Linked DNA regions of Cricetulus griseus. The protein of the gene in region 2 purifies or fractionates together with the protein of the main gene of each other region. This does not show direct contact. Links are inferred from orthologs where the notes say so. Each region holds a gene or a part of one and is shown on either strand. Other genes may lie near its edges.

Region 1 (4,460 bases), on a different chromosome or scaffold from region 2:
AAATGCTGGGATTAAAGGCTTGTGCCACCACCACCAGGCTTATTGGTCTTAGTCATACCCACTAATGCCAGCTTGGGAAAAAAAGGTCCTCACCTTGCAAAGCCCTGGGGCAGCTCGCCCAGGCCATAGAGTGGGTACAAATATGGGCTCTTGCCATACCGGGCCAAGGACTCACTGTACAACTTGATACGGTTAATAGTCTCAAGACAGGGCTGATCCAGGTAGCTGGGGAACAAGAGAAGATGCTTTGACAGCAGCACTCCTGCTCACCTTCAAAGACACCATCCGCCTTCCCACCACCCTTTGTGACCTGGCAAAGATATGAGTCAAATGGAAGAGAGGGATGGAAATGCAACAGGTGAACTTATAGACAAGTACAAGAGATATGCAGGGTGGGCAGTGGATACAATAGGCAGGTGTGGGGAGGATAAAGTGTGAGGCAGACAAAGGGGCTCCTGCCACCAGCCAGCTTTCCCCTCACTCATCAGTGCGGTAGAGCGCCAAGGCATGGCCAGTGAAATCAATGACATCTTGGCCCAGATCAAACTTCCTGTAGACATCACGCATGCTGGTGGTCTGGGGGTCGACACCCTCAAAGGTTTTGGGGTCATTCTCATCAAAGTTTGCCACAAACACCAAGAATTTCCGGAAGCGTCGTTTTTCAAACATGCCCATCAGATCTGAAGGAAGGGTATTGAAAAGACTCTTTTTGTATTACTGGGACATAAAACTCTTCTTTCCACCAGAGCAGGCCAGGAAAGTTGGTGTCCTGGCTCCCACCAGAGCTCAGTCATGTAACCCTGCCCCACCCTTCTTGGCCTTAGTTTTCCTATTTGTAGGAAGAGGCACTCCTAGCTCCACTTGGGGATGCAATGGGGGTCAAGTAGGCCCTCTGCCAAAAAGAAATCCTCCTCAATGAGCTTCCTTTCTGGTAACTTGCCAGGATGGGTAGCACATTCCAATAAAGGTACTATAAAGCAAGGGGCCTCTGGTATTACATAGAGCTAAGATTAGGCTTAGGCAAATGGGAGCCTTTTGCCTAACTATCTTGAGAATAGTCTGCTTCCTCCTGTCCCATTATTCTCTGGCTAAGGAGACTCATACTTACTAGAAGCCAAGGCCTCAGTCTCAGTGGATGGTACTTTGTAGATCTTGCCTCCCTTGTATACAAAGCTGCCCTCAACCACCTTGAAGTCCAGATAACGAGTCACTTCTGTATACAGCAGCATCTTTACCAGCTGACCTGTGTCCAGAGAGGATTAGGGATGTCAGTGTAGCTCCCTTCAAAAATCTCTCAGTTGTCTGACTGACCTTATTCTGGAGCTTGAACCTCCCCTCTGGTCTTCCCAATCACCACCACCCACCAATCACCATATACATTATCTTCTTAATCTCCCTCACCATTGGCCATGAGAAATTTGGGGATCAAGTCAACATTCCAGTCTCGGCCCCGGCCCATTGACTCAGGGGGCCCTTCCAGCAACTGAAAACGTTTATATAGCTGTAAACAGGACAGAAAGAAAGAAAAATGTCAAGGACCACCTATCCCTCTCCCATTCTCCAGCCCAGCACCTGGGAACTACTTTGCCCCCATGCCCCTATGTGAGAGACTAAAAAGGGGTCTGGGTCTTAGCTCAAGTCCAAGAAGCCTTACCTCTTCCAGGGGTGTGATGGAAGAGCTCTCACCCCCATAGTAAGGGTTCCGGTCCATGTGCAGCACCTTCTTTCCATTCACAGACATGATGCCAGACAAGATGCATTCCTGGGGGAGGGGTGGCATTTGCAGCTACACTCCCATCTGCCTTCTGACCTGCATCCCTGGTTTGTCCCTGACTCAAACCCGACATAAATTTTGTAACATAAATCCCTGCCTCTTGTAGCACCTAAAACTGGAGAGAGGGGAAATGGCTTCATTCGATGTTTCCTTTATAACCCTGTTAGGCAAGACGGTGAAATGCCAGAGCATTAAATGAGGCTTAGGGAGGCAGAGCTTCCAGCAGACCCAAGGACAGTCTTCTAGTACCCACAAGCCAAGTAAGTATCTGCCTGCTCTGAGCCCACAAAAAGGTAACGAGTCTGGAGAAGAACCAATTCAAATGAAATCCCAGACCCCACCCTGGGCTGCTCCTCCTACAAAGGCAGGAGCCCCTGACCCTCCAGCCCTATCTACCGGTCCAGACTCAGGGTGCAAACCAACAACCAATCACTGTCACTAGCCCAAGGACAAAGGCAGAGGATATATTCAGCCTGAGATCTCCATGGGAAACCAGACTGGGGTAGAGGGAATGTCGTAACTACCCCCACTACTGCTGCTTCTGGAACATTCCCTGAATTACCGTCCCCTCTCAAAAGGCAAAAAGGCAGGATGAGAACCCACCCTTGGAATGCCCCCATACCCATACCTTTATACTCAATGCCCTAGTGTGATCACCACAAAATGGTAAGAGATGCTAATCAAGGATGCTAAGCAGGTGAAGGGTGGGGGCTGGGCACAACCGGTCCGGGGGGGGGGTAGTTTTCCACCTCGGTGACACAGATAGGGACGATGAAGGGGTCCTAGGGTGCAGGGATACAGGCTGAAACAGGGTCCTCTACGGGGAAGCAAGAAGATGGCAGCGCCGTCGAGTCGACATCCTAGGGTGAGGCAGTGGGGTGGGAGCGGGGTTGGCTTTGCCAGGACCAGAGCCAGGAAAGCAATGATGGGAGAATGAGACCGGTGACCAGGGCTCTGCATCACCGCGGGGGATGGGAAAGGCATGCTACAGGGCTATGAGTGCCTAGGGTGACACTTACGGTAAGACCTGTCCCCAGTACTATCACATCGTATTCCTCGTCCATGGTCAGGCCTTGGTACCAACGCCCGCTCGGCTCCTCCTCCTCCTTCACCACAGCAGCCACTGCCGCCGCCGCCGCTGCCACCGCACTGAACCAAAGATGGCGGCTATCAGTCGTCTCCAGATCCTTCCGCCGCGTCAAAGAGTCCCTCTCCCTCCTCGGGCCCTGCCACACCCTAGCGATGCCACCGTTTCTCCCGCTTATTTTCTGGAAGGGCTTCCAGCGCCTGAGTCTCCGCACCAGTACAATTTCGGGGGCAACGCAGATCTTCGCGAGCCCAGAGAAATGCGGGGCGGGGCGGGTCCGTGGCAGGTGCTGCGTCCCGCGAAGATCCATGCGCGGGAGCCGAGAGCGCCCCGCCCCGTCCCATCCCTCCTGGCGCGATCCCATACCGCCCCTCTGGGAGAAACAGCAAGGCCCTGTGGTATTTGCAGTTGCCTGTATCTTTCATTGTAAGGACTCTCCCCAAGGCCAGGAGAAATAATGGGCCTCTACCTTAACTCGTTAAGAGTATCAATCAGCTTGATGAAGACTCTCCCACCCTTCCCCTCTCACCTGTTAGGACTACACCTGGGCACTTCTTCCCCTCAGTCAAAAACAAATCTACTGTCAAGTGCAGAAATGAGTGACTCAAAGCCGAAGCCCAACACATATGACAACACGTCTTTATTTTATTAGGAAGGGAAACAAAAAGAGTACCCCCATCCCCATCTCTTGGCAGACAATCCTAGTGGGAATAAGCCTTGTGGAGGTCTCTTCTTTCTCAGGCTACAGAAATAAACCCCAGTGTACAGATCATTCTTAACATGTCACCCAAAAAACACAACAGCCAAGCTGGACAGACAGTTAAGTAGTCTTTCCATACATCTCAAACTCAAGGAACCTCAAGTTTATTGCTGTTGCTGGAAGATTCATAAAGCTTGGGGAGTGAGCATTAATTACACAGAAGCACTATAAACAGCAAGTAGCGGAGGGGCAAGAATAAATAAGGGGGAAAGGGAGAAAGGGAACCCTAGAATTAATGTTCCTTCCCCTCATGATGATGGAGCCTGGAAGATTTGTCTAATATCTATGAAGAATATATACACTTTGTTGGTAGAGATGGGGGATAGCCCCAGGGAAGCCAGTCCCTCAGTAGGTTGAAGAGGAAGCAAGACAGGCTGAGGGTACTGCAGGGTTCATGCTATCGAAGAGAAAAAAAACTTTCTATCCACTATGCCACAAGATGCAAACATGACAACCTAGACACCAACACTCCCTCAATCTCTCTCTGGCACAGGTCACACAATCTGTGTCAAAGTGATGGTGGGGCCCTTGTGGTCGTCAAAACGATCCATGGTCTTGAGGCTGAGTATCATGTGCAGGCCATAGGTGAAGATGAAAAGCATGAAGAGGGTGGTGAGCAGCCCCATCCAGATGCCTGGAGAGAAGAAGCCAGCACAGTCGCTAGCATAGGAGAACTGCTCACCCGTCACATTGAAGGCCTGGATCTAGGAGACACATAGACATGGATCAGAAGGGACCACAAGTTTCTACAGACAACAAGGGCTGGGGTTCTGGAATCAGTGAACAGTCTAGACCTTCAGAGACAGCATAAGGATGGAACTCTCAGCTACATGCTCAAG
Region 2 (4,457 bases):
CTCCGCTGTCAAGCTCTCTTCCAGGCTGGAGGTATGTTCCAGAGAGGGGACACTCAAAGGCTTCCTATTTGAACCAGTTCCTTGATACCTTTGAAGGCCTCATGCCTACCTGTGATATCTGCCCCAGGGTTTTTTTCTTCCTTACCCTGCTCCAAGCCTGCCACTCATCTTTGGAGTCCAGCCACCTCTGCCCACTCAGGTTATCCCTGAGTGGACCTAGAGGGATAACCACCGCAATACCAGGAACAGAGATCAGGAGGCCCGTGTCCTTCCTCCCCCACCACCAGCAGACTCAGCTCAGACAGGCAAGCTTATGCTTCTGAATTTTGCTGCCTCAAGTGCCCTGGTATAGAGGGCAAGGGGCCTCCTTGATCACAGAAGAAGGGAGAGCTAGGGTAGGGGTTGGATCAGACCCCAGAAGCCTGCCTTCACAGCACAGGCTGCAGAGGATGCTAGCATGCAAAACTGTGCAGAGTTAAGGGCTTACAACGGCAGCAATCCTTGGGGATACACATAACCTCTGCAGCTCACAGATACCAAAAGCTCTGTAAACCTGAGGGAAACTCACGAATGACAGAACTAACTGTGTCAGGGGCTTTGGACTGTCTTCCAGAAGGCGCCAAGGTGGCCAGCAGTCAATCTCACTGATGGACCAGGTACCAAGGGCCCATGAACCCTACCCCAACCAACTAGCCCAGCATTCCCACCAGGTCACCCAAACCAACTATCCCTGAGCCCATATTCCCCCTCAAAGAGGTTCCGGGTGCAGCTTCCCCCATTGAAGGTCATCTTATTTCCCAGTGACATGCTAGTGAGGAATGGCAGACTGGAAAAGGAAAGTGGATTCCTGCTTCCAAAGTGTTCACAACTCACAATGGGCCTCCTGGCAAGCCCGCCCCATTCCCTGGAGCTCCCTTTCCACACAAGCATGGGTATAAAGGTTGACTCTCATTTTTGGGACTTCAGACTTGGAGGGGATTGGAAGAAGTCTCCGCAGGGGTTCCCACCCATCAGCACTGCTTGTAAGGGAGCCCAGAATTTTCATTCAAACTCACCGCATATGATTCTTTATGGAACCGTGTTCAGACTCGGAATAAACAAATATTCTTTGAGACTCTAGCATAGTCCAGGCACTGGGGAAAACATGAGGCACAAGGGCTCCTTCAAGCCACCCACTTTTCAGAGACAGAAACTGAGTGTCCCAGAGGTCTCAAATTAGGCAAAAGACAACACATTGAGACTTCCACCTCAAGGATGCTGTCCACCTGCAGGTTCCCTCTTAGGGCTGAGGTGCACCCAAATCCTTTCCACACAGCAGGGAACGGAGATGTCCTCTGTGACACTGGGCTCTACAAAGGACAGGAAATCAGCCCCAGCTGACTACCTAGCTGGGCTGGTCTCAATCTGGAATGTCTTAGGACAGGTAAACACTTTTTCCATCCTCATCCCAAACCTCCATCTCAGGTACTGAGCATCAACAGACAGAAGGTGGCCATGTGACCACCACAGCACACGTCATAGCTGCACTGTGCCTGAGCCCACTAGGTCCTCCCACAGCCTTCCTTCTCCTGGCCTCCAAACCAGCTAACAGGACTGGTTTACAGAGCTAGAGCTGGAGATCCCGCCCCCTGGGGATCCCCTTCTCCTCCAGCAGAAATGCTCAGAGCCCAGCTTGTCTCTGTAACCCCCTGGTGATGAGGCTCCAGGATCGAGGTTCTCATGGAGCCACACCTTCTTACAGGTATCAGAGAGGTCGCTGCTCTACAGTCTGGGTTTCCCACCTTGGACCAACCTGGGTTTCATATACTTGGGGTGGGGAGACTCCTGGGCAGCAAAGAAACCTTCAGTCTCTCCCTCCTTCGGCTCTGGCTGGCTGTCACGGTGACCTCCCCTCCCCCAGGAAGGGCGGTGAGCTGGGAGATGGGGGTGGGAGAATCCACCGGCTTCACTGATGCTCTCTGGAGGGGGCAGGGAAGCCAGGCAGGGCGTGTCGCTTAGGCCTTTCTCTGCCCAATGCCAAGCTCCTTGATATGAGATGCCTCTGTACCATCCCCCAAGTCACCTGCTATAGAGAGAATCTTCACTCTCATGGTCCACACCCCTGAGCCCCAAAGAGGCTAATGCATTAGCTAAGGACAGTGGGTCTAGAACCTTCTGCCCAGTCAAATGTAAGCCAGGGGAGCTAAGTGCTCTGTTCCCCTACCAACTGCACCTACTCTTTTCAAAAAGGGACAGGTGTCGTGTGCTCCATTCCTCAGCGGCCATCTGCTCCAGGGCTAGATGTCCTTTCCCTGGTTCCGGGAAGGGTCCACAGGGAACCCCTCGGGCGCAACCTTATGGGGTGGAGGCATCTAGTCCCCAGCCCCACCTCATTCTCCCAAGAGAGGCTTCTGTCCCTTCGCCCACACCCTTGCCGGCACCCAGACACCTGCACCGTGCTCTGCAGCCGGTGCCGCAGTGCGAGCTAGTCAGCGAGCCCGCGAGCCCGGCGCCCAGAGCCACCAAGCGAGCCAGCCGCCGCCCTCGGTCCTCCCGAACGCACCTGCACAGGGTACCCCTATCCAGTTCCCATCCTCACCCTCATCCCCTGACCCCGGAGCGCCTCCATCCTTTACCCCGGGTCCTCCCCAGCCTGGCCCCACCCGAGCCGGCCCCATATCCCCATCTACATCTCTTTCCTCCTCCGCTCGGGCGTGGAAGGGCCTTGGCGAGCCGGGACTGGGAGGGTCCCCAGTGGGGTGACTGAATGGGCGGCGTGGGGAAAAGACTCGGTTCCGAGCCGAGAGAATAAGCCGAGTACTCACCGCTCTGCTCCCCCAGGAACACCAACTTGAATTTTCGCAGCGGGTTCCCAAAATCTCCCCCTGCGGACATGGTGCTGGCAGCTGGGGCCCGGAGAGGAGGAGGAGGAGGAGGAGGAGGAGGAGGAGGAGGAAGCGGCGAAGGAGCAGGGAGGGGAGAGTAGGAGGGCGAGGGGAGGCGGCGGGCGGTGCGGGAGCCGGAGGGGGAAGGGTTGGCTGCGCGCGCCCCTGACTCCCCAGCTGCGGCCCGGCCCCGGCCTGCGGCTGCGTGTCCGACGGCGGCGACGGCGGAAAGGGAGGAGGCAGGGTGCGCGGCGCAGCCGAGGGCGGCGCTGGCTGCACGGGCGACAGTCGCGCTGTGGACGCCCGAGGCTCGGCGCGGGCAGCTAGGCGGGTGGAGCGGGGCGCAGGGACCGAGCTGGGCGGAGGAGCGCTCTCCGAGCAGCGCCACGCGCCCCCTCCCGCCCGCCTGCTCCGCCCGCCTGCGCTCTGCGAGCTCCCCTGCCTCTGATGTCATGCGGGGCTCGTGGGCTTGCAGGGCTTGGGGGGCGTGCGCCAGCCCCCCCCCCCACCGCGCAGCCCTCCCGGGAGAGCCACCTCGCCTTGTGTCTACGAGAGTGCCCCCCCCCTCCCCGGAGCGGCTCGCTGGGCCTGGCTACTTCTGTTTCTCCCACCCACCTAGGAAAAAAAAAATAAAGATACTACGTGATCAGGGGGACATTTGCTGCTGGTCTTTGACACCTAATGCGGGTCCCTTCCTCCGTCTCAGACACAGATGCGCAGAGCAGTGGTCGGATAGGGTGGGGAGGTAGGAAAGGGCCAGTGCTCTGTGTATTGGCCAGTAGGGAGATGTGAGGATACCTGGTGCAGACCGGGGGTGGGGCTCCTCTGTAGCCCCTGGTGGCCTCTAGCTTGCCCTCCCACCTAGGTCCAGACTCTCTATGGGGAGGGGGCTGTGGTTGTTCGCAGCAGATCTGGCCAGTGGGAGAGAAGATGCCCTTATAGGACGTGCCTACAACAAACCCACCGATTTGAATCCTAATCTTCTGATGGAAACCAGCTCCACTAACTCCAGGACAGTGCCCAGCATTTTTTGACCCAGAGACTACCAATCTACACTCTTCTGCCCTGCTATTTGGGTTTGTTTGTATAATGAGCTCCTCCTATCCTCCTCTGCTTGCTGGGCACACACAGCAGGGGGAGAGCAAAGGGCAGACTCCAGAATAGGACTAGACGCACTCCCAGGACAGCCCAGTCTAAAACATCCGGTTAATAGAAGCTTTACGAAGCTCCCCTCTTTTTGTCTTGCTGCCCACTGGCTTTGACCTCTGGCCATTCAGGGGATACTTTTTGGGAAACGTTTTGAATGTGTGGTGTGTGTTACACAAAGAGAGCCAGGAGTGAAATGCACCCCACTCCTGTAGTAAATTTGTGCACTTACCCAGAGTGTACCCACTAGAGTCTCACACCGCTTGGTAAACCCTCACAGTGAAACTCCATGGAAGCAGCCGCTGCCCAAGGATCTCACTCAGAGCTTCGGCAATAGTCGCCGAAAGCTCGAACTAATGTCTAGAACGTAAATCATTGTAACCGTTCTATTCTCACCCTCTTCTTTGGTTTGGAGGTCCCGTGGCTGGAGATCATGCCCCTGGGATA

What was found.
Region 1: the proteins of Rab6b (region 2) and Gdi1 purify together in Homo sapiens (co-immunoprecipitation; 3 studies listed by BioGRID and IntAct, counting the BioPlex papers as one, with this or other methods). This does not show direct contact. The link is inferred for Cricetulus griseus from reciprocal best matches to the Homo sapiens genes RAB6B and GDI1.

What each region holds. Positions count from the first base shown.
Region 1 is NC_048604.1:1,416,056-1,420,515, forward strand, and holds the start of Gdi1 (rab GDP dissociation inhibitor alpha), read right to left. Parts: upstream 3,100-4,460; 5' UTR 2,839-3,099; coding exon 2,794-2,838; intron 2,635-2,793; exon of another isoform or gene 2,403-2,634; intron 1,763-2,402; coding exon 1,655-1,762; intron 1,502-1,654; coding exon 1,402-1,501; intron 1,244-1,401; coding exon 1,109-1,243; intron 681-1,108; coding exon 482-680; intron 226-481; coding exon 94-225; intron 1-93. Other genes in the region: Atp6ap1 (V-type proton ATPase subunit S1), read right to left, coding at 4,116-4,325. UniProt on the Homo sapiens protein: Regulates the GDP/GTP exchange reaction of most Rab proteins by inhibiting the dissociation of GDP from them, and the subsequent binding of GTP to them. Promotes the dissociation of GDP-bound Rab proteins from the membrane and inhibits their activation.
Region 2 is NC_048597.1:211,358,981-211,363,437, reverse strand, and holds the start of Rab6b (ras-related protein Rab-6B), read right to left. Parts: upstream 2,875-4,457; coding exon 2,805-2,874; intron 1-2,804. UniProt on the Homo sapiens protein: The small GTPases Rab are key regulators of intracellular membrane trafficking, from the formation of transport vesicles to their fusion with membranes. Rabs cycle between active GTP-bound and inactive GDP-bound states.